Linked DNA regions of Arabidopsis thaliana. The protein of the gene in region 2 interacts with the protein of the main gene of each other region in a pairwise test. Each region holds a gene or a part of one and is shown on either strand. Other genes may lie near its edges. The genes, in order: PIN1, SAL1, EIR1 and FYPP1.

Region 1 (6,001 bases), on a different chromosome or scaffold from region 2:
TTCATCATTCCACATATTTAAATCAAGCCAATATTTTTAGCAATTAAATGATTTTCATGTCGAGAGTACAATTCAAACCAAGTTAAGTATTATACATTTGATTTATCATTATATAAGATCGTCGTATAAATATGAAGGTTTGTTTTTATTCATAAAAAGCATCAGCATCTAAGTGGTATGTAATGATTCTGAGAAGAATCGGTAAAAGGATACACAATTGACAACACTAAACGAATCTTTCAAGATTCCACAAACGCAGTGAAGAGGAATCTTGACCAAGTCGAATAACGTAACGCATGCACCAAGTCCCCTATCTTCTACATATTTAATCGAGTGTTCTGTTGAATCCAATACTCGTGTCGTCTGTGTTGTTATAGTCACATGCTATTTCATACCTTCCCACCTAAGCTATTGTAAAGTTTCTAATATTCATGACTACGTTTTAAATTTTCCCAAATCCCCCGTAGAAATCCCTTTCTCAAACATTTTGTGGAAGATGTACTTTACTGTTTTAGTTTCTGATTTTTCACATTTAGGCAAACGAAACATAGAAATGTTAAGTGAACTTAACTTTTGAAATGGCTAAAACACTTCTTATTTTGGTGAGATTTAGACCTATACACACCAATTCACTTTTAGCATGCACACAAAATTTGATATTTTCCTTAACGTTTTTAATTCACTAAAAGTAGCCAAAGCTTTTACAAATTCCTAAAACCTACCAAAAGAGGAAACACGAATGTTCATTAAAATTAAGAAAAAGGTAAAACTTGCTGAGCTCCTACTTAAGTCTCCTTCTTCTTCTCTTCTTCAAGAGCTTCAATTATCCTCAAAGATTCTCTAAAGCTGCTTCTGATTTAATTTGTGGGTTTTCAACAAAAAGGGCATTGTTCTTTTCACAATTCATCATCCCACAAAAGAATAAAACAAAGTCCCTGTGTTTTGGTAATATCTCTTCATAGACCCAAGAGAATGTAGTAGAGAAGAGTTATGGGCAACGCGATCAACATCCCAAATATCACCCTGCAACAAAAATCAGAACTCACGTTAACAAAAATATATTTATATATACACCTAATCATAATTAATGTAGGCAAAACCAACCTAACTTTTTTTCTACAACAAAATTTATTGTTATAACAACAAAACTATTTAATAGATTAATAAACTTACGCAGTGCTAAGAATGTCAGGATGCACATTATACTCTTTGGCAAACACAAACGGTACTATTCCTTGCGGCAAAGCTGCCTGTTTGTTGTCAATAAAAATAATGGTTAGAAATCGTATAAACGACAGTAGACACAACAGAAGTGTTTCATATTTGATCATGCAAATAAAAACTACCTGGATAATGGCAACATGGAGGAGGACGCCACGGAGGCCAACGGCATAAGAAGCAACGAGCATGACGGCAGGTCCAACGACAAATCTCATAGCCGCCGCAAAAGCTGCTCTTCTGTTTCCACAAGCTATTATTCTTGGGTTTAACGCCATGAACAACCCTTTAACACATCCAAAAAAAGCCACAAATTTAAACAAATAATTTATTATTGTTTTGCTTTTTGGTTAATTTAAGTTTATACACTGTTTTTAGCTGCAAAAGAGTGACATAAAAATAATCATCACAGCCACTGATCCACCACCACAACATTAACATCATCATTATCGTTATCCTAAACTATTCATTCCATAAAGTCATGATTAAGCACAAATTTTATAATCAGTTGATGGAAGTCTACTGAAACATAAACAAGGTAAAAAAGAAAGTTTTTTCATCGATAAGGGGGTCAATATTAGGTATAAAAAAATTGTTTGTTGCTTTAAGAGAAAATAAAAAATGGTTCCTCCTATTCAAGGGAGAGACATGTTATGATGATAAGCAGAGAACTGTGGAGCATGCTTTCTGCTGTGAAGCCAGTTTTGTTTGCTTTTTTGATACAAACATGTTTCAAAAAAACTTCAAAGAAAAAGAAAACAGAGAGAATCATGCTTCCACATGATTTGTTTTTTTTCTTAAAATCATTTAAAATTTAAAAAACACCATAAAGAATGAAGGTCAGAAATAAAGAGAACAATTGACTGTTTTATGGTATTTAATTATGTAATAAATGAAAAGAGGTAAAAATAAAAGAAAAGAGAAAAAGGAACTGACCAAGACTGAACATAGCCATGCCTAGACCTGCATCTGAGAGTATGGAGATAGACTTTGCTATAAGAGCTGGCATTTCAATGTTCCACCTGCACAGACCACATCAATTTAATTCCAATAAAGAGATCTTTCTCAAATCTTTTGTTACTTCAATCTATCAGAAAAAACTTTCAAACATATACGCATTCAAGGCTGACCCTTTATGCATCAAGAAAGTGGTTAAAATAGTAGACCAAAACCAAAGTAAAGTGAAAATAAGACAAGTTTGAAACAGTACTTGAAGGAAATGAGGGACCAGGTGATGCCGAATAAACTGGAGTAAGAGTTGGGATTACGAATAAGTTTCCTCCAAACCATAATGAGAATGAGTCTTGTCATCACACTTGTTGGTGGCATCACCTTAGCCTGCGTCGTTTTGTTGCTTATGTTGTTCCCACCGTCCGTTGCCAATACTTTGCTATCATCGTCTTTGTTACCGAAACTAAACTCTTCCCTCTCCACGTACTGGTTGTCTAAAGTAAGGCAACAACACATGTAAACAATTAAAGAACCCCTTAACCAAATCATAAATATCGAAGGACATAGAGAAATTTTGGGGGTGTTTTTGTAAAGAAAATAAATTAGGGTGCGAAAACAAAACAACAAAGTTATAGAGGGACTATACCGTTACTATTCCCCTGAGGTACAGAGATCTTAACGTCCTTTTGATGATCGTTCGTAGCGGTGGAGTAATCGGCGTGGTGGTTTCCTCCTCCACCGCCGAACACATCTGAGACCGGCGAAGCACTTGAGCTCCACACAAACATGTGAAGATCTCTTCCGTTTCCGTCTTGTCTTTTCCCACCAACCACCGGAGCGTTTCCTTTCGCCGCCGTGCCTCCACCACCGCCAGTGTTGGGCGAAAACATCCCTGGGTTCGGCGCCGGATAATGCGCTCCTCCACCGCCACCACTTCCTCCAGATTGATAATGAAACCTCCCAGCTCCAGCAGCAGTTCCAGCAGCCGTCGGTTTAGCAGGACCACCGTCTTCTTCGTAGTTGGAAGGTCTCGGAGTAGGACCTTTAGAACCAAACACAGCTTCTCCAGGACCAAAGTTAGAGTTCCGACCACCACCAGAAGCCATCATCGAGTAAAAATCAGTATGATTAAAACTAGAGCCACGTGGCGTTGGGTTTCTTGAACTCTGAAGCGAATATATCTCAGCGTTGGTTAGATTCGAAGGTCTAGGTGTCGCAGATAAGCCTTGAGACCTTCTCGAGTAAATATCAGACCTTGAAGCATTAGAACGACGAACAGTAACATGAAGCTTCCCATCTTCTTTAATCTCAGCTTCAGTTTCCAAAGGTTGTCTTCCATCTAAAGACATAATGTCGGAATCAACATGAATCGAAACAATAGATCCTGCTGTGTCTGGAAACTGCTCGGAGATCAAAAGCTTAGCTCCACGGTACTCAAAGAGAAAGAGCATGAGTGTGTACCAAATGATACACTGAAGAACAACGATTTGAACCATGAGGTCGCCGGAGAAATTACCATACATGCCTTTGAGAAGAGGTATCCCCATGACTAGAGTGTTGGGGAGTGTCGAGAGAGAGAAGAGAGTTATGGTCCAATCTAAAGAACCGTTGCGGCTGAGTTTGCACCAGAGGAAGAGGAGAGAGAGGACAATGACTTTCTGGAGAGAATCTGCGGCGAGGAAACGGAGGTTCATGGCGTAAGGGTTGTTAGCGGCGATGAAGTGGAAAGAGAGGAGAGGAACGGCGAAGAGAGCGACGAAACGGTTTATGCCGGAGCATTGGTCTGGTGTGAAGATTTTCCACCATTTGACAGAGCCGTAAGCGAGGATCATAGCTACGTATAACGGAACCATAGCCGTCATAACGTGGTAGAAGTCCGCCGCCGTAATCATCTTTTGTTCGCCGGAGAAGAGAGAGGGAAGAGAGAAGAGCTTTTGTCTTTAGTTTGAGAGAGAAGTGGTGAAGAGGGAAAAAAGAGTAAAGTGAGTGTTGAGAAGAGACCACATTTTTATATTCTTTTTATTTTATTTTTTTGTCCGTTGAGAAAATACCATATTTTTTAATTAAACATATATATATTTTGTTAATGAAGCTAAAACTGTTTGCTGATTTTATTATTTTCGTTTTCGATTATTTGGTTAGTTTCTAGATATTATATTCAAAAGTAGTTTACGTGTAGGAGTAAAAAAACATTAAATGTAAAATTGGAATAGCTCAACATATTTATTTGTTTTGTTAAACATTCCAACATAATAGTGTGTGTGATGTAATTTTGATTGAAATACGACAAAAAGAAGTTTTTTTGAATGTAATAAAAACGAAATAAAAATGGTGGTTGATGGGTGCGTGGTGGAGCTTTGGGGATAGTGAAAGAGGCGGCCTTGTGCGCTTTGCGGAGTCCAAAGCAGAGCCTCTGTTTTTGCCTCTCTCTTTTTTTTTTGGCCTTTTCAAATTATGAATTAATCTATTCGGTTGATCAATTTATCCCCTATACTAATTATTAAATTTATATTTTTACCATGTTTAAAAATTGTTAAATTTATTTTTGCTATAAATTATTGTGATTAGTATGATGGGATTTTTGGTATTGACTTTCAATTGATAAATCACAACAGAAGATAAATACACATTGAAGTGATGATATAAGGCTCGATTTGATGTTTATATGAACTTAGAAAATTTTGGTTTTAAAGATAGAAGTCTTCTCCGAAGAGAGGTTGAAAGTCTTTGGAAAAATGGTTGCAATTGAACAAACTAGTTCCTAACCAAAGACTTTGTGGGTGGAGATAAAAGAAAAGATGTGATATCACTAACATAAGGTCGAAATCACTTTTTCATGTGAGATGGGTGTGTGTGAGTTATCATTGCATAGGTTATCATTTACAGTTGTAGTTGCGCATACGAATTATTTATGAACTATTCAATCCTTTGATCGCTCATCTTGGAACTTATTTTCTTTTACTGTTTACTGTATAACATTACTAACAAAGTTTTATAAAATATATTTCGTTGAGAAAATTAGTAACAAAGTTTTATTGAACATAAATACGTAGAAGTTTTTTGAAAGAAAAATGTTGAAAAGAGGGTGGTTCTGGTTTGCTTACACAAATCAGTCTGATGTGTTCTTTAATACTACTAATAAAGTCCGTACAAAAAGCAATGGGTTGATGATATAATGAGGAGTGTTGATATTTGAGGAAACACAATATTCCATCAACAGTCTGCTCTTCATTTTTCTCATCATCCCATACAAACACAGTTCTTCTTTTTTTTTTCTTTCCAGCTTTTTATTTTTCCAATGTTTTCAACTTTTTTTTAAGCATAATAATAATATATAGTACTAATATAATTCGACTTTCCTTGCCATTTCTTGCGCTTAAAGAGACTATACACACAAAAAAAGTAGGTTATGCAATCCGAATAAAGTAAATATGTTGAGAAGTTACGAAAAAATAAAAGAGTTGATGACTTAACATCATTTTTCTATTAAAAATTATAAATCAAGTAGTTTCTATTTTTTTTTACTGACAAATAATTTTAAAATTGGTTCTTTGAAAGAATTGAATTTTTAACACGGCAAAAAAAAAAAAAAAATTGCAGGATTTTTTCACATTCCATATAGTTAATGATATTTTGGATCTTTCAAATTATTTGTCACTAATCCATTAATCTTTCAATCTTTTGTTGTGCAAATCCTTGTTACAACTGCGACTTTGTGTAATATTGAACTCAAATTAACGTTTTTTCTAATACTCTATGTTTGCACGGCTTGACTTATGGTTATGGGTGATGGATGACCTTTTAGCAAATACTTGAAACGAGAAAATTAAAA
Region 2 (4,200 bases):
ATATCTTTGTAACATGGATTAAAAACAAAGCAGCTAGTATATATTATTCACATGAAAAGATTAAAAAAAATTGTGCGACTAGTAGATTTGTGATCGCCCCTTTATAAAGTTTGACTAGATCACTAGACTACATTTAATTATTTACAAAGTCTCAACGATTCCTTTCATCGTGAATGGGATATTATTGGGAATAAAATCACGAATTTCTAAAAGTTGCACAATAATATATATTTTTTTGTAAGATGGTACACAATAATATTTTAGTTATACTATAACCAAAGAAAAAAAAAAACTATTTACACCATATTAATTATTTCTATATGAAGAGATTTTCTACTTAACGCGCTTACTTTCGTATTAAGATAAAGTATCTACGCACTGTAGACACGTACGTCGGTGCATCATGCATGTAACCCTTAAAAGGCCTTTTTACGGCCCGTTACTGGTCCATATTAAATTCTCTACATAACCCTTTATACTTAGCCCAAAACAGAATTTCATTTTTATTTCTTTTTCGAAAATGGAAGAAATTCTCACTGGTGAAATTCGGTGAAAGAAAATGAAACAACAGTTACAGAGAAACAAAGAACGTACGAGAGAAAAAAACAAATCAGAGAGCTGAAGCTTTCTCTTGCTCAGCTATGGAGTCACGAACTGCTTTCAAAAGCAGAGGCATTAGCTTCTCGTTAGCAACGATAATGCCTGTGTCCAAATCAAGATACTTCCCTTTCGAGAAATCCAGTGGCTTTCCTGCTGCATCTGTCACTATTCCACCCGCCTCTGCACCAAAAAGAAGAATCAACCTTGCATTCCTTATCTATTTACATCCGCATGTCGACACTATAAAATTAGCTTCATAGAGAGTAAGCTTTAATGTTACCTGTAACAACTATAGCACCAGCGACATGGTCCCAAATCTTTTCGCGGTATCCTTTATGAGGAAACCGTAAGTATATAGCTCCATCTCCTCTTGATAAAGCTCCATACTTTGCTTGGCTATCAATACGGACTGGTGGAGCTTTGACACCGAGTTTCTGTATATTACAACATAGAACATGATCAAATGGATGAGGAAAATTAGTTAGCTATTAGCTGGAATCACATGGAAGGAAAGAAGCAATTTACATTGGCAATGGAGCTGGATAAGTCATGTAGAGAGTGAGCTCCTTCGAATGACTCGAAGAACGATGCCTCTTCAGGATTCTCAACACTAGAGACTTGCACTTTTACAGGAGAAGATTTTGAATCTAGGAGCTGCATATATGTCCCTGAACCAATTGTAGCAAAGAAGAGGCATCCAATTTCGTCTGACGAAGATTTGTTCTTGTTGTTTCCTGCTATGGATGCTAACGGCAAGTTTGGACAAGCAAGCACACCTAAAACTACTTTCCCTTCCTCGAGCAATCCTAGTGCTACTGCGTATTGATCTCCCCTCAGAAATCTAAAATCATGAAAATGCTCAGTGTCAGGAACATAACATCTGACTCAACATTCTATCAAATTTACATTTTCTCTGAAATAAGAAGATTTGACTTTAGGCTAGTTAGTTTTAAAACGTACCCTTTAGTGCCATCAATTGGATCCAAGACCCAGTGTCGACCATTTGGACCACCTTCAGATGTTCCACAGTCAATGGCTCTAAGTAGATCATCAGTAGACAAAGTAGAGCCATTAAACGATTCCTCGGTAGCCAAAGTGTCGTTCACGAGTTTTGTGATGCGCTCCAGAGTATCCTGAGAACCATCCTTGCGTAGATCGCCTGAGTCCTATATAGATCATTTTAGACAATGTGAGTCCATAAACACAAACTCAAAGATAAGTAAAGTGTGAGACATCTAACAAGGATTTATTAAGCAGTTTCACCTCTTCAGCCACCAATGAAAAGGGTTCAGAACTGAGCTCTTTTTCTAAGACTAAACTAACAACTGCTTGTGAACCTGAAATTCAACACAAGACAGATCAAATTAAGTGATTTCCTAACAATCTCAGTAACATTCAAAGAGAAGAGCTTTTTCTAATCAGGGACAGGTATAACAAACTAACCATAATCAGCAACGGTCACTGGACTTTTATCAGATTTTGATTGCACATCTGATTGCAACAAAGCCTTTTGAACTTTCTGAAACAAACCCAAAACACAAAGATAAGATTTTGATCAAAGATTTACACGAGCTTCGTATGTAGAGGACCATTACACTATATCACTAGAATCTATTCCCAATTACAGATGCAATGCACAATAAACACAAAATGTTAAACGAAATTTGGAAGATTTACAAAATGGGTTTCTTAAAGAATCAAACTTTAGAATCTATGGGTCATGATTGAATCGAAAAAACCCTAACCTGACAGAGACGAGCAGCGAGTGAAGCAGCTTTCTTAGCAGCATCAAGCTCTTTCTCGTAAGCCATCGATGAAACAACTCTGAGAGTAACAAATGAAGGAGAAGAAGACTTGCGTCCGAATACAGAAACGAGACGGTTCGATGAATTTCTAGGTCTCGAATTCGTTCTTACTGCTACAAATGATTGAAGCGGAGCCTTCGCTGTTCGAAAACAATTTATAGACATCATTCGCTTTTCAAGAAGATAAATATATGTCTTCACATTTTCTGATTGCAGAGACAATTATTATTACTTTTTTGAATTTCCCATTTACACCAGTGTACTTATTTATTCTCTGAACTTAAACCCTAAACTTTATTTTAGATCAAGAAAGGCCATATTTGCTCTGTTGGTTTAGGGGTCCATGTGGCACCAATTGAAAGAACAAGTACAAACGGTGAAAATCATAAAAATAAAAAACTTTAGTGATCTTCGTAGATTGGTTGTTGAGTTTTGGGCTAATCGCACGTGGATGTTGTGGTTGAAACATAAGTGAATTTATAGGTGGTGAAGATACAAAAAGGCTTCTTGATGAATGAAGAAGCCCAATAAAAACGGTTCTGGGTTAATATATTTTGAGGGAATCAAAAGCCCAAATAATTTTCTTCAGACAAGAGCTACAGCTTTGCCACGTTGTCCACATGAATCATGTTGAAATTTGGTCTATGATTTTGGGTTATGGATAAATCATTAATGACGCAGAGACAAGACTAAAAAAGATTTCTAGATTGATGATGGCGTGTGAGAGAGCAAAATACGTTTTGATTATTTGCCGGCGCAAGCAAAGGGTCACGTTCCACTAACTTTCAAGATTCAACAAAACCCACTTTCTATAGTTTTATATGTTCATTTTTTTCTGCTAAAGTATTTTTATATGTTCATATTTCTCTTTTGTGCCATCTTTTTAATAATTTAATCTTCCTACAGAAGATAATCTCCAACAAAAGTTTTTTCTTACAAGAAAGATTCCGAGAAGTCTTTTGTGTTTTCAACAAACTCCAGGTTGATATATACTTGCCACTTGTGTAACTGTATCTTTTATTCTTGATTTTGATTGGTTTCTTCTCCAAAGATTGGATTTCTGAAGGTTCTTGTGCTGCAGGGTTTTTTCAATGAACATGAGCAATAAACGTAATCAGCAACCTTCGTATATTGCTGATCATTTCAGCAGTTTGGATCAGGTCTCATAAACTTACTTAGTTATTTCTTGATTTTAGTCTCTTTCATAGTGATGAATTTCTTGTGAACTTTGCTTTTTAGGTGATAACTTCTCTGAGAGAAGCTGGACTTGAATCTTCAAATCTGATTCTAGGAATTGACTTTACCAAGAGCAATGAGTGGACAGGTAATTATTTGATTTGATAAAAAATGCTACACATGTTTACGAAAAGATTCAATGGTTTTGGTTAATGTTCTGAATTTTCATTGCAGGGAGATATTCATTCAATAGAAAAAGCCTTCATGCCATTGGTAAAAGACAGAATCCATATGAGAAAGCAATATCGATTATTGGTCGTACTTTGTCTCCCTTTGATGAAGATGATCTTATACCTTGTTTCGGTTTTGGCGATGGTTAGTTTCTTATTTCTTGCTTTCAAGATGAATGAATAAGATAAACCAAAGTTCTTAATGGTTTTATGTTTTCTTCTTCCTGCAGTAACAACGCGAGATCAATATGTATTCAGCTTTTATCCCGAGAACAAAAGCTGCGACGGATTGGAAAACGCAGTTAAAAGATATAGAGAGATTGTCCCACATTTGAAGTTGTCCGGTATTTTTGAACTTTCAAAAATGGAGCAGTTTTGTTCTCTCTTAT
Region 3 (7,304 bases), 2.5 Mb from region 2:
TCTCCTACTCAATGCACAAAACCTTCTGAAAACATCAAAACGTATAAATACTTTTACCCTTAGTATACATATGCTATTTCTCTTACGCACTTCATTGAATAATAAATATTTTTACGTGTAAACTATTAAAAGATCTATTGTCAGATAAGTCAGAGGTCAGGACAACTATATAGAGAAGAATTGTTATTGAATTTCTCATGTGTTGTTGTTCGTTCAATTACGTTCCGACCAAAGAGCGAGTTCCAACGTATATCTCATCGTTTTGATACCCCACGTGATCGTTTTCACGTTACACAGTCAACGCCTCCAGAGCCAAGCCATCTTTTCTAGTACATTACATTTACATACTTAAATTCAAGCGCCGATCACCGATACGTTTTGAGGAGCTCATAATTAATCAAACGCAAGGAAAAAGAAGAAAAATAATTTCTATTTCATAAAAACTTTGGACAGTTTGGTTGAAAAGTTTGATCACTCGTTAAGATATTCACACATGTTAGATATGCACAATTTGTCTATAACGCAAAACTTATCATCAGCAACTATCTTACTACACAATCAATTGTCTAGACTAGTGCTTTCATTTGAAATGTTTCTTTCTCCACGCAAATTCTTTGTATCACTCCAAAAATAGTCCGAGTGATATCTTATTGGTGACAGATAAGTATATACTAAAATAAAGGAAAATTAAATTCTATTATAAGTTTGATTGTTCTTTACTCATCGAATTAAAATGCGACTACCTTCAAGCTTCAACCGAATATTACGTTCATAATTTTTTAACAAAAAAAATAACGTTCATAATTAACTTTACATACAAACAAAAACATAAATATATAAGACAAAAGAAATGAAATAAAAAGGTTATATGTGGAAGTATTAGTGCATTTGATCCAAAACAAAATAAAGAATTGTATGGAGATTTAGAAAAGCACAAGATCTAATCTAAACAGACTGCGCGATCTAGTAATACTTGACTAGTATATGATGAAATATTAGTGTAATTTAATAACATGCTTCACGACCATCGATAAATAGAAAAAACTAATCAATAGTAAATAATTGTACTTGCACATCCCAAAAATTTAATAAATGTAACAAAAACTACAAAGTCACGTACATGCATGTGCATATAATTAATTATACAAAGTTATCTAAATTTTCGACTATCATATGCTATAATTTAATTAATGCGACATTGCATGGTCCCATACACCTAAGCCTGACCTGGAATTAGTCTTTTTTCGTTCTTGTAATTATTCTTTTTCGTTTGAAAAAAAATCACCTTTGGGTCGTATCGCCTTTTATTTGCAAATACGTTTTGATAATAACTTAAAGCCCCAAAAGAACGTAGTAGAGTACTGTTACAGGCAAAGCAACCAGCATTCCGAATATAACCCTGAAAAATAATATCAAGTTTTTAGCTTAGGAGATCTCTGTAACTTTGTATAGTTTGAATACCAAATTAATATCTTATATATAGTATTAAAATGAAGTTTAAGAATGAAAATTAAATATTTTATAACTTAAATAACTTACGCAGTGCTGAGAATATCAGGATGGACGTTATATTCTTTGGCGAAAACAAAAGGAACGATTCCTTGAGGAAGAGCAGCCTTCAAAACATACAATTATATATATTCTTATCAATTATATTTTTCAAAGAAACCCAACATCACTAGCTAAAACATCAAACTGTAAGTTAGATTGAAATATATATAAGACTAAAGAGTAATCACCTGAACGATGGCGATATGGAGGAGATCACCTCGAATACCAATTGCTATTGAGGTGGCTGCGATCACGGCTGGTCCAGTCAAGAACCTTACGGCCATCGCAAACCCTGCTACTGATTTTCCGCACGCAATAATCTTTGGTTGCAATGCCATAAATAGACCTATATGTATCAATAATTAGCAAAAAAAAAAGCACCAAAGACTATAACTAAATATATATATGAAGGGAACTATACCAAGACTAAACATAGCCATTCCAAGACCAGCATCAGATAATATCGAAATCGATCCACTCATTATCGTTGGCATCTTTATATTCCACCTGTCCCATAAAATGATCAACAACATCAAGCAATTGCCCAAATATATTGTTATGTTATATGATTGTGACATTATTATTAGTACTTACTTGAAAGAGACAAGGGACCAAGCAAGGCCAAAGAGACTAGAGTAAGTGTTAGGGTTTCGAATGAGTTTTCTCCAAACCATTATCAGAATTAGTCTCGTCATCACACTCGCCGGCGGCATCTGCTGTTTCCTAGGACCGGGACCGCCGTCTTCCACGTCGCTACCTTTTTTGCCCATGTAAGGTGACTTTCCCCCGTTATTACCGTCTTGGTCCATTTCCACATGCCCTTTTCTTCCCGGTGACATGTTCTCTATCAGATTCTGCATCGCTGTCATCACCAAGTATGAATATAATTATAATTAAATATCACAGAAAATACTAAACTAAATTTATTATGACCTTTCTTCGACCAAAAAACTAACTTATAGAAAGCCGTACGGAACCAAATAAAAATCTACTTTAATTAGTTTAAAAGTTTTCATAAGTTTTGAAACTTTGAAAAAACTATAAAAAAAACTTAGAACCGATATTGAGCTTTATACATTTTTCCTAAAAGTTAAAAAAAAAATAGAAGCGTGGCAAGTAATGATAAAAAAAAATATGAAATAAGTTGGAGATTAATAAACCTTTAGTAGCGAGGTTGTCGTGAGGAGGAATAGAAACTTTAGGGTCGGTGGATACATCGGTGGAAGAACCTCTGGTCATAGCATTCTTCGCGTTGGCTTCCGACACCGGAGAAGCACTCGAACTCCACACGAACATGTTCATCTCCTTGTTTTGTCCTCCTACTCCTACTCCGCCACCGCTTCCTCCGCCACCACTTTCCTTTTTCTTGACTCCACTTGCTCCACTCGTTGACCCCGTGAACATTGGGTTCGGCGGTGGGTACGACGGAACTGACCATAAATTATAGAAAATTTTATTTTAAAACATTACATTATAATGAAAAAATCACATTTAAATTTCAAAATACAAAATTAATATTTTGTTTTCCAAAACTATAATCAGTTTAAAAACCTAAGAGTTTTGGAAGTGATATACTAAATTATTATTATTTTGTTAAAAGAAAAAAATAATTACGCAAAATTATTTGATGAACTCTTTACTTAACTTTTAAACCTTTTTAAACCTAATAATATCCCACTTATAATCACCGGTGACTGATGGAAAATAATAATAATATCTGAATCGATTCTTATATCTATTTAAATTTATAAAGAAGCAAAATATATTTTTTTAAAAAAATAAATAAAAAATAAATATATATATATATATATATTAAAAAATTCATACCACTATTATTGTTGTATAATTCCCCACTCATACTTCTGCCTCCTCTTCCTGCTTTCTTCGCCGTCTTCATAACTTCCTCATCAAAATTTGACGTTCTCGGCGTCACGCCTTTAGAAGACTGAAGTGAGTAAACATCTCCACCTGGACCAGCTCCAGCGCCGCCGTAGCTATTAGTGTAACCGTGACGAGGGCTTGGAGCTTTGCTTGCGTTAAACATTGCGTAGAAATCTGTCTGATTAAAGCTAGAAGCTCTCGGCGTCGGCTCTCGTGACGATTGAACGGAGTAAATCTCTACGCCGGTGAGATTTGAAGCTCGCGGCGTTATCATGGAGGAGTTAAGTCCTCCGCCGTGAGATTTGTTGAATGAAGAGATCATTGATGAGGCGGCACTTGATCTTCGAACCACCACGTGTAGCTTTCCGTCGTCTCCTATCTCCGCATCGGTCTAATGAAAGATAAATCCATATTTTTAGGTGATGAATTTCGAGTCGATGTGATTTAAACCGGATATAACCGAATCGGTACAAAAAGAATGAAAATTCAACTAGACTATAGTTAATAACTTGATATTTCTTATATTGTACTAATTATTAAATTCTGCGTGAATAATGTAACACGTCACTTTGAAGATTATTTTTGACTTCTGAAAAAGGAACTCAGACAAAACTCAAAATTTGTTATAGATTTACATAGGCAAAAAGGAATCCCAAAATGACATGTAGTCATGTCGTAACTAGTAACTACCCATTTTCTAGTTTACTTGAGTTAACCGGTCCGTTAATTTGAACAAACATATGAAAAAGGTCATCAGTGAAAAATTCATACCTGGAGGGGTTCACGGCCATTAAGAGAGATAACATCAGAGTCAACTCTGAAGGAAGTAATTGAACCAGCCGTCTCCGGGAACTGCTCGGAGATGAGAAGCTTAGCCCCACGGAACTCAAACAAGAAGAGCATTAATGTATACCATATGATGCTCTGAAGCACCACGATCTGCACCATTAGGTTACCGGAGAAGTCTCCGTACATCGCCCTAAGCAATGGGATTCCCATTACCAACGTGTTAGGCAGTGTTGATAGTGAAAAGAGCGTTATCATCCATTCTAGGCTTCCTCTGCGGCTAAACGCCTAAAAAATAATATCACAATATATACACAAACATGAGAATGTGTGTGTTTAGAGACACATATTACAAAAGAGCTAAAATGTTAACTAAAATATTTACCCGTGTTAAATGACATAGTTACTATACTATAAGCTTTCGATAACCAATATGTTTTCGAGTAAAAATTGACCATCATAGCAATTACTAGTAGACTACCATCACTTAATGAAGATAGATTATGTGCATAGAGAGATTATTGAAAGAGACGGGCCTGCCAAAGAAAGAGTGCGGCGAGGATAACGACTTTCTGAAGAGAATCAGCAGCGAGGAAGTGGTAATTCATTGCATAAGGATCATTGGAGGAGATGAAATGGAAAGAGAGAAGAGGAACCGCGAAAACCGCAACGAACCGGTTTATACCGGAACATTGGTCCGGTGTGAATATCCCCCACCACCGTACCGAACCATAGGCTAATATCATAGCAACGTATAGCGGCACCATAGCCGCTAAAACATCGTACATGTCTTTGCCGGTGATCATTTTGATTTACTTTTTCCGGCGAGAGAGAGAAGAAGAAGAAAAATAGAGATATAGATGAGTATATGTGGTGTGAAATAACGTATTTATGGACAAGGAAGTGAAGTTCCTTGAGACGATATTTAATTAATGTTGTTTGTGTTAAAATAATGGGATTCGTGTTCAAACATTGAATTATAGCTAAGCTTAGCTAGAGAGGATCGTTGGACATTTGAATATCAAATAAACAAAATATAAACCAAAATGCCTTTTTTCTTCCTCGGCATTTTGTGAATGGACAAATACTAATACAGTAATAATTTCAGTCTGAATCTTCTTTGGTCCATAATTTTTCGAAGTGCTCTAGATTTTTTCTTTTTTTCCGTTGATACTAGATATTCCTTCTATCTTTATTACTTCTGCAAAAAGCCGTTATATTTAATTTGAAGAATCTTATCTTGGGATAAGGAAGATTGGTTTACCTTCTGTCTCGTGGTCTAACATTATTTGTAAGTAAAATTAAATGCTTCAGAGATTATAAATTATAATTACACAAATGTTAGATTCAAAATATCTGTAGAGTCAGATACTTGGATCCACTTGTACGTGTAATACAAATTTGTAAATTTAGATTAGATTTTATATTAATAAGAAAACAAATTTGTAAATTTAGATTAGGTTTTATATTAATAAGAAAACAAAAACGATTTTTGTGTAAGCTATTGAGACGGCGAAGGTTGATGGACATGCACATGGTTTTTGCGAGCATCTTACTACACTTTCTGAGCGATCTGCGGTTCCCTGTAAACATCTGATTTTTAATCAGGAAAAATACAATTGTAATTAACTTATCTTTTAATCTTGAAACGGTGTATTTTTGTTTTTAAACGAAAATCTCTTAATGATTTATTATTAACTACAGTCAAAGACATTGGCAATTGGACCGATGAATAATTAGCCTCTCTTCCATATTTAATTGTCGTGTTTTCTTCATATTGCAATTGTTAACGTATTTATCACGCCACGTGATTGGGCGTTTGGGCCTAATGGACCTATGGATCTAACGATGGAGATACTAACTAGATTATCACTAAAATCTCTTTTGAAGTTCCAATATGTATCGAAGACATGGTTTTCCACAATCCGTAGCAAAGACTCCATCAATTCGTTGGTCTCTATGTCATCTACACGATCATCGCGATTTCTTATATCTCTTTAAAAAAAACGGTGAATTGACCAACAAGAAACCTAAAAAGAGTTTGTTCTTCTTTACATCTTCACAAGAGGAAGAAGAATAAAAGCCTTTAATAAGTGATCTCAGTTTTAAACTTTATCCATGTTTTTTTGTTAACTCATGAATTGAAAGAGAACAACCAAAGTGAATGTAGCCTGATAAAACAGGATGAAACTATTGAAAGATTCAAACTTTGTTTACAGAATCATCCTTCTTGGCCACTTCACTACTTTCCAACGGTGGTAAACTCTGCACAAAAGTAAAAAGCAATCAGATTACAAATCTCTCATGGGCAATTCATCGAACACCTTATGTGCATTACAATAAAAGAGAGATCACAGAGCCAGAGAACGAAATGAATGGTTTTAAACCGATCACGCTTATGGGCATTATCAAGAACGAAGAAAGTGAGCAAACCTAATACATTTGAGAACCCTAACATATGTACAGAAAGAGAAGGTGAAGCTTACGAGATCTGGTTTGTAGATGTTGTGGACAACGGAGGCTCCGGCGAGAAGGGAAGCAACGACGACGAGTGTTGACATTGCCAGAGACGGAGTTCCCGTCGGCAACTTTCCTTTATACGGTTTCTTCATCTTTGGCTCTGCTTTTTGACTGAGCGCGCGATATGAAGAGAAATTTGAAAAGCTTTTCGAAATTTTGAACCATCATCAACAAGTTTGCTTTTATAGCAAGTCGGCTTTTTATGATTTGAACGCGCAGCTCTCGCGCGTGAGTAACACGTCACCTCCCTGCCTGAATCTCATTATCTAAGGCCAAAGTTTTGAATTATATAATAAGGTCAAGCTACTCTAAAGAATTATGGAAATATCAAAACACTTTTTTGAGGATCGTTTATAAGCTTCAAGACCATCACTTGACAATCATGAGAGTTCAATACCTCAAACCTCATCAGATATGTCACATCATTCGGTACTGGTAATGATATCCTTGCAAAACATGAATTCAGTTGACATATCATATACATATTACTAGTAAGCTATAAGAATCTCACTCAACACACAAATGAATTTATTCTTAGAGATACATACGACAACCAGTCATTATGA
Region 4 (6,096 bases), on a different chromosome or scaffold from region 2:
GCTGATTCTCAAATTGCTTGGTCCCTGAATTTTTATTTTCCAGTCTAATTTATCACAAGCTTGCATAATCAACAAGTCACTAATACTCCAAATTGAAAACAAGGAAAGCTAAAAACCCTAATCCCCTAAGTATCACAACGTCACTGACAGAGGCAACTTGAAAAGACTCACCAGACATGACGAAATCAGTGTAGTGATTTTCTTCACGAAGATAAGAAAGCATGTCGGGATTGGTGCGAGAATCGTCACGGAGCCAGTAGTAATTGTCAACCCTAACGTCACCGAACATCTCCATCACATGCTCCACCTTCTTCGCTACAGGAGGGGATCTCGATTCCGCCATGTCTCTCGGTGATGTCAACCGCACTGACGCAGCTCCGGTTTCAGAGGAAGAGGAAAAAGAAGAAGACAGCCGTAGAATAGAGCGGCGGCGAGGAACAAGAGGAACGAGGCAAGAGAGAGGAGTATCGAAGTGGAGAAGACGACTACGAGTCGCGAGAAAGTGAGTGCCGAGAGATACGAGTCCACGCCTTATTATCATATTACGTGTCCGTTTTAGTTGCCTAGAGACTCGCGACCAGTTTGTTAATAGAGGACAGGTCATATCCGGTTTGGATAAACCGGCCTATCTATGATTCCGGTTACAAAATTATTAACTCTTTCGTGAATTTTTGCTAGGATTATTGAACAAAACCAAATAATTAGATTAGAAACAAATTACTGTTGAATGTTGATTAATGGTCTTCTATGTTCTTGTAGTGGACTATTTTTGAGCTTGATGAATTTTATAAGCCTGAGATTAACCCAGAACCTAATCAAACCGTGCTAAACTGCAAATAAGCTGAGATGATAAAAATTGGTCTTGCTTACAGAACAAAGATGAAACAAAACAAGAAAGAAAGCACGTATAATAATAACATCCAGAAGAGGTTCAGGTTAAAGTGCATCAAAACCACTAAAATTACCAAAGTGACATTCACTTTCACAAGAAAATGTTTCCAAAATGGAAAAAGGAAAAAAAAAACAATGGAAGTGTAAACAACATCAGAAGATATACCTTGAAAGAACATAAGCCAATGGCAATCATGATAATGGCTAACTTGATAAGAGCAATACGAGACTAATAATGATGTAGGATCATCATCATGAATCACAGGAAATAAGGAACACCTGTCCTTGGCCCTCTCATTTGATTGTTCTCTTCTGTCTCCGTGAAGAACTTCACTTCCCTTTCCTGGTAATTAAGCATATTTTAACAAATCATTACTGTCAGTGAGGACCAGATCCTAAACACTTCCCAGAAACAGGTCTATATATGAAAAGTAACACACAGAGCACAATCAATATGGACAGACTGATTCCACGCGAACTGTGAATTGTTACTAAATAAATGGCTTAAACATCATAACTCTATCTCACAAGAGTCACTCATGTGTATATGTTTGGGTCGAGAGACAAGTATCAAAGGCAGTAACTTATTTAATCAAAAAGGAAAAGTAGAATCCGAAGACGAGTGCATAAAAGTAAGAAGAACATGAAACAAGATATTGTGGCAGATCAGTAACAAAAGAGAAAACAAATGCCTCACCATGTTGTCATTGAAACTCAATATAGAAGCCACATTCCCACAACGGTAGCAGTAATTAGGCGCAGACCACACCTTTACAAAAAAAATAAAGAGAAGAAACATCACCAAGCAGATTATACTTCCAACTATCCAAAATGATCATAAGGAAGCAAGGCACTTACAGTTACAAGACCTTTATCTTGGAACATGTACTTGAGACCTTCTTGTACAAGCTGGTGAGCGCGACATACTAGATCAAGATTGTTAATATGGTTAAACTGCACAAGAAGCAAAACCACAGATCAGGGAACTGAAATACATTTATTTCTTTTCACACCTTATTCAAATTTCAACCCCAGAAAAAAATATAAATACCTCAGTGGTAACCCTGGACCCGAAAAGCCAACCAGCTCCACGTGGACTGACAGCCCATGTTTCAATATCTTCAGGATCACTCCACATAAGATCACAGAAGGGTCCTTCATGCGGTATTTCGCAATTCCGCTCAATCAATCTTATCTAGAGAACAAAATAACATCTAAATGAGTAAATGAGATTTAATCTAATCATAAATAACACTTGCATGGTGAAAACCAAAAGTAATTTAAAATAGCACATTTTAACCTGGTCAATTGTCCGTACATCAGGTGAAAGGCCACCATGAACACATAGAACCTACATTGAGGATGCAATACGTTTTAATATGGTATACAGCTAACTTATGCATTCATAAAATTATACAAGAACACATCATAACACAATGCCAAAGAAGCTGAGAAATACTTACAGTGCCATCTATAATAGCTGAAAGTGTAAGATAGTCAAAAACATCCGTGCAATATCTCCAAGCATTAGCATTACCATACTTCCTTTGGCATTCGTCATAGAAACCATACACCTAGCAAATATAAAATTGGTACGACAATTTAAGAAAACTATAAAAATGAACCTGCAGGGCACAAAATATCACTACAATCTTCGTCCTTGACAGTGGATGTTAAAAGATATAGGATATGGTGTAGGATAGAGATAAATCAAGAGCTTCCGAGAAGAAAACTTATGGTTGCAAAGGGTTCACATAAAATGCATCTTAGTTAACATCTATGCCTATATCTAGCATGGCATTGCCACATGTACAAAATAAACTTTCAAAACTAGTTATAACAATTGAGCGAAAATTACTTCTCAACCAGTAACTGCGTGAAGAGCACAGCAAGTCAGCAACAATAGATATAAATGGATTAGAATAATGCATACCTGAGTTAGCTGTCTACTTTCATGATTTCCACGCAAAAGAGTGATATTGGCTGGATGTCTACATATTGAAATACAAGGAAACGAGTGATTTTAAGCTCACAGCAAAGTAAGTTAGAATATAAATTTCCTGGAATACAAGTTAAATCGATTTTCCAGTAGAGCAATGCGTTTACAGCTTAAAGAGCATTCTCAAGAGAACTATGATATACAGTGTGAAACGGAAGGATGACGATCCATGACATATATAACGCACAATTTCTACGGAAAATCTTACCTTGCTTTAAGAAGCAAAAGAATGGTGAAAACTTCAAGACTGTTGTAACCTCTATCAACGAAATCCCCCTGAGAAAATCCCCCACAGATAATTAAACTATGTGTTACATATTGATATGTCATACGAGCCTACGCCCAAAGTCAGAGTCTATACCATAAATATGTAATTGGTCTCGGGAACATGACCTCCGGTCTGGAAAAGTTTCATAAGATCATGAAACTGGCCATGGATATCACCACAGACGGTGACAGGACTGTTGACAGGTTGTACATTTGATTCCTCAATAAGAATTTCTTTCACCTATATAATAGTCAAAATATCTTGTGAATTACCAGAGTATCTTAGCAAATCATTGTCATGAAAAAAGAAGAAGACGGCTGCTACTACAAGTTTCAACACTAAAATTACTATAATAAATCCTCAAATAACAGTTTGCAAGCGTGGACTTGGTGCATCCATAAATTGGCTAAAGAAGAGCTAAACTTATCCCTAATTCCTTAGAATTTAGAATTGAAATAGCAAAGTCAATAAATCCTCTATTGGAAAAATGAGAGAAAAACCCTAAAATCCGTAGACCAAAATGGCAAAGGAAACAGTAAGGGAGAGAGACCAGATTCAAAGTAAAGTGCCACAAAGCAAGCTCTAAAGTCTCAAAAGAGTAAGCGAAGAATTGGGTTTTTGTAGATGCATGAATATTCGGGGAAGAGAAAGCAAGCAAGAGAAGAAAGAAGAAAGAAGAAGAAGGCGTACGTATTCGCAGAGAAGTTGAAGCTCGTCCTCAGAGAGATGTTGGCCGTCTTTAACCTTGGAAATCCATTGATCTAAATCCATGGCGGCCTTTTATTATCCTCTCTGTCTCTCTCTTTCGGTGGTGAAGTGGAAATTGGTGCTGTTTCTTCGATTTCAATGGTGAGTCTCGACGATCTCTGGTGAAGAATTGAAAGAAAGATAGATCTAGCAGAGCATTGCTCCGTCCGCTTAGGGTTACGTAAGGGGGAAAGAGGGAGAGAGAGAGAAAGGGGAAACACAACGAACCAAACAATCTCGACCCGAACCCGATTTGGTCTTCCTCCATCCCCAAACTCTATTCGTTGGATATTTATTTTTAATCATTTTTTTGGCAACATATTAAACATCAATTTAATTTTTATCTATTACTTCATTACACAAATCTTTAATGGAGTATACTACACATTTTCAATGTTTTTGCAATTCTTTTCTTGGTAATTTTATTTGTCTACTTGAATGTGACAATTGATAACACCTAAATAAAATTCCACAAATACTTAAACCTTCTTTATAGTATTTTTTCTTCTTTTTAATTTTTTTAAAAAAACACATTTCGATATATGTGTTGTTGAATTTGAGTAAGACCTTTTTGATAATTAAAAACTCCTAAAAAAAATTATTTAAAAGTCTTGTTAAACAAATTGTGTCTAAAGACACATTTCGAAATCTATGTGATGTTGAACTTTTGAGGAAGGTTGTTTGTGGGAGACCGTACGGGATATGTTAGAAATGAATCAATGATCTTGGATAGGCATTAGCAATACGATCGTTCAAGAGCGAACCTCACTCGATTCATTTCAATGTTTATGTTTGGGTCTTCCCATTTGGCTTCTGGTTAGGGATAATTTGAGAAGGAAAAGTATTGTTATGATGACCTCTAAAAATGACAAAATGGAATTTGTCTCACCAAAAAATCTCCAATGTTCAAATTACATCCGAAAAAATCACTAGTCGGAGGGCCAAATATTACGGAAAGTATATATTGGTGTTGGTTTGGTTTATACTTGGTCGAGAGGTGATCCGAAACTTAGTTCCACTTAAAAAAGTGATGCATCGCAAAGGTAATTCGAAATTTAAATTGTGAAGAGTTTACTCAGCTGCAAGAATAGAAATGATTTTTCTCAGACATGTTCATTTCGGGTTTGGGCTGGATTGAGTTTTTTTTTAACCCACGACAACATTCCAAGAAAGATCACTTGTTGAAGAGGGATTCCACCAACTGACCATCTGATACAAGTGCATGATTTATCATATGTAATTTTATCCATCAAATTATCTAAATTTTTGTAGAGTCTAAGTCGAGATATCACTGAAATCGGCCAAAAAAACTAGTAGTTAAATAGTTTTTAAAATACACATTGTCCAAACACGATAAAGATTTTTTAAACTCAAAACAATCTTGTATAAAATCTATACAATTTTTTTTTCCCTTTCTAACTCCATATGTTTACAAACAAACAAACTTGTAAGGAAATTTATATTATTATCATAGTTTACCACCTTGTAGTTATTTCTCGCTATGTCCATTTTAATTAGCTTGATAAAAAACTTAACTATTTAAGAAATATAAATATTGATTTGTTTTTGCAACGACTATTTATATTCAAATACAGCAATGGTTCACTGGACTTTGGAATCCTTGACAAATAGATATACTGTATAATATAAAAATTATTTACTGAATTTGCCAATAGATTTGGGTGGCAAATGAAAAACATGACTCTTTCAGTCCCAAGGAGCCTTCTCACTTCTAGCAGCAAAGCCAAAAACCGTAGTTACATCAAACGTGTAGAAAAGGAGACGTGCGTCTCAAGAAAAGGAAGTAACCATTAATACCTAGTACTCCTCAACCTCCCCCACCAATTCATCTTCACCTTCTCCGCTGAACCACCTGTTTCTTCACTCCCAAGTTTGCTAAGTATCAGTTTCGTTTCCCTTAGTCTCCCTCCATAATCTTTCTTCCATGTCTCAAACATCTGTTTCAGCCTTCGTAGCTCCCGGTCCGGATTCAAGTTTGCTTCCACCTGACCAGATTTCACTTCCATCAAGAACTTTCTGTCGTCACCAAATACCTGAGCTCTTTGTCCAAATTCCTCAGCTAACCGGCTTATCACGCTTAAACCCACGCCTACACTTCTTGACCTGCCATGGCCCATTTGGTAATGACTACCTCCTGAATCTAAATCTGTTGCATCGCTTGCATTCACCG

The links.
Region 1: the proteins of SAL1 (region 2) and PIN1 interact in a protein complementation assay, tested with the Arabidopsis thaliana proteins (one study listed by BioGRID).
Region 3: the proteins of SAL1 (region 2) and EIR1 interact in a protein complementation assay, tested with the Arabidopsis thaliana proteins (one study listed by BioGRID).
Region 4: the proteins of SAL1 (region 2) and FYPP1 interact in a two-hybrid assay, tested with the Arabidopsis thaliana proteins (one study listed by BioGRID).

What each region holds. Positions count from the first base shown.
Region 1 is NC_003070.9:27,657,832-27,663,832, reverse strand, and holds PIN1 (Auxin efflux carrier family protein), read right to left. Parts: upstream 4,161-6,001; 5' UTR 4,062-4,160; coding exon 2,816-4,061; intron 2,664-2,815; coding exon 2,429-2,663; intron 2,241-2,428; coding exon 2,155-2,240; intron 1,505-2,154; coding exon 1,347-1,504; intron 1,251-1,346; coding exon 1,174-1,250; intron 1,024-1,173; coding exon 957-1,023; 3' UTR 580-956; downstream 1-579. UniProt on the Arabidopsis thaliana protein: Acts as a component of the auxin efflux carrier; this activity is enhanced when activated by D6PK-mediated phosphorylation.
Region 2 is NC_003076.8:25,608,213-25,612,412, reverse strand, and holds SAL1 (SAL1 phosphatase-like protein), read right to left. Parts: upstream 2,412-4,200; coding exon 2,346-2,411; intron 2,120-2,345; coding exon 2,044-2,119; intron 1,938-2,043; coding exon 1,864-1,937; intron 1,767-1,863; coding exon 1,561-1,766; intron 1,442-1,560; coding exon 1,126-1,441; intron 1,035-1,125; coding exon 881-1,034; intron 781-880; coding exon 611-780; downstream 1-610. Other genes in the region: RGLG3 (Copine (Calcium-dependent phospholipid-binding protein) family), read left to right, coding at 3,497-3,565, 3,645-3,729, 3,816-3,956, 4,042-4,155. UniProt on the Arabidopsis thaliana protein: Phosphatase that converts adenosine 3'-phosphate 5'-phosphosulfate (PAPS) to adenosine 5'-phosphosulfate (APS) and 3'(2')-phosphoadenosine 5'-phosphate (PAP) to AMP. May regulate the flux of sulfur in the sulfur-activation pathway by converting PAPS to APS.
Region 3 is NC_003076.8:23,098,485-23,105,788, reverse strand, and holds EIR1 (Auxin efflux carrier family protein), read right to left. Parts: upstream 5,274-7,304; 5' UTR 5,025-5,273; coding exon 4,755-5,024; exon of another isoform or gene 4,604-4,754; intron 4,507-4,603; coding exon 4,204-4,506; intron 3,824-4,203; coding exon 3,379-3,823; intron 2,982-3,378; coding exon 2,712-2,981; intron 2,414-2,711; coding exon 2,146-2,413; intron 2,059-2,145; coding exon 1,973-2,058; intron 1,898-1,972; coding exon 1,740-1,897; intron 1,617-1,739; coding exon 1,540-1,616; intron 1,400-1,539; coding exon 1,333-1,399; 3' UTR 561-1,332; downstream 1-560. Other genes in the region: AT5G57080 (uncharacterized protein), read right to left, coding at 6,421-6,483, 6,705-6,830. UniProt on the Arabidopsis thaliana protein: Acts as a component of the auxin efflux carrier. Seems to be involved in the root-specific auxin transport, and mediates the root gravitropism. Its particular localization suggests a role in the translocation of auxin towards the elongation zone.
Region 4 is NC_003070.9:18,656,727-18,662,822, reverse strand, and holds FYPP1 (Calcineurin-like metallo-phosphoesterase superfamily protein), read right to left. Parts: upstream 4,316-6,096; 5' UTR 3,930-4,315; coding exon 3,849-3,929; intron 3,399-3,848; coding exon 3,252-3,398; intron 3,167-3,251; coding exon 3,099-3,166; intron 2,883-3,098; coding exon 2,825-2,882; intron 2,466-2,824; coding exon 2,355-2,465; intron 2,243-2,354; coding exon 2,192-2,242; intron 2,087-2,191; coding exon 1,943-2,086; intron 1,846-1,942; coding exon 1,750-1,845; intron 1,661-1,749; coding exon 1,589-1,660; intron 1,235-1,588; coding exon 1,151-1,234; 3' UTR 771-1,150; downstream 1-770. Other genes in the region: AT1G50380 (Prolyl oligopeptidase family protein), read right to left, coding at 1-24, 172-541; VIIIA (P-loop containing nucleoside triphosphate hydrolases superfamily protein), read right to left, coding at 5,717-6,096. UniProt on the Arabidopsis thaliana protein: Catalytic subunit of protein phosphatase 6 (PP6). Dephosphorylates phosphorylated phytochromes, with a preference toward Pfr forms.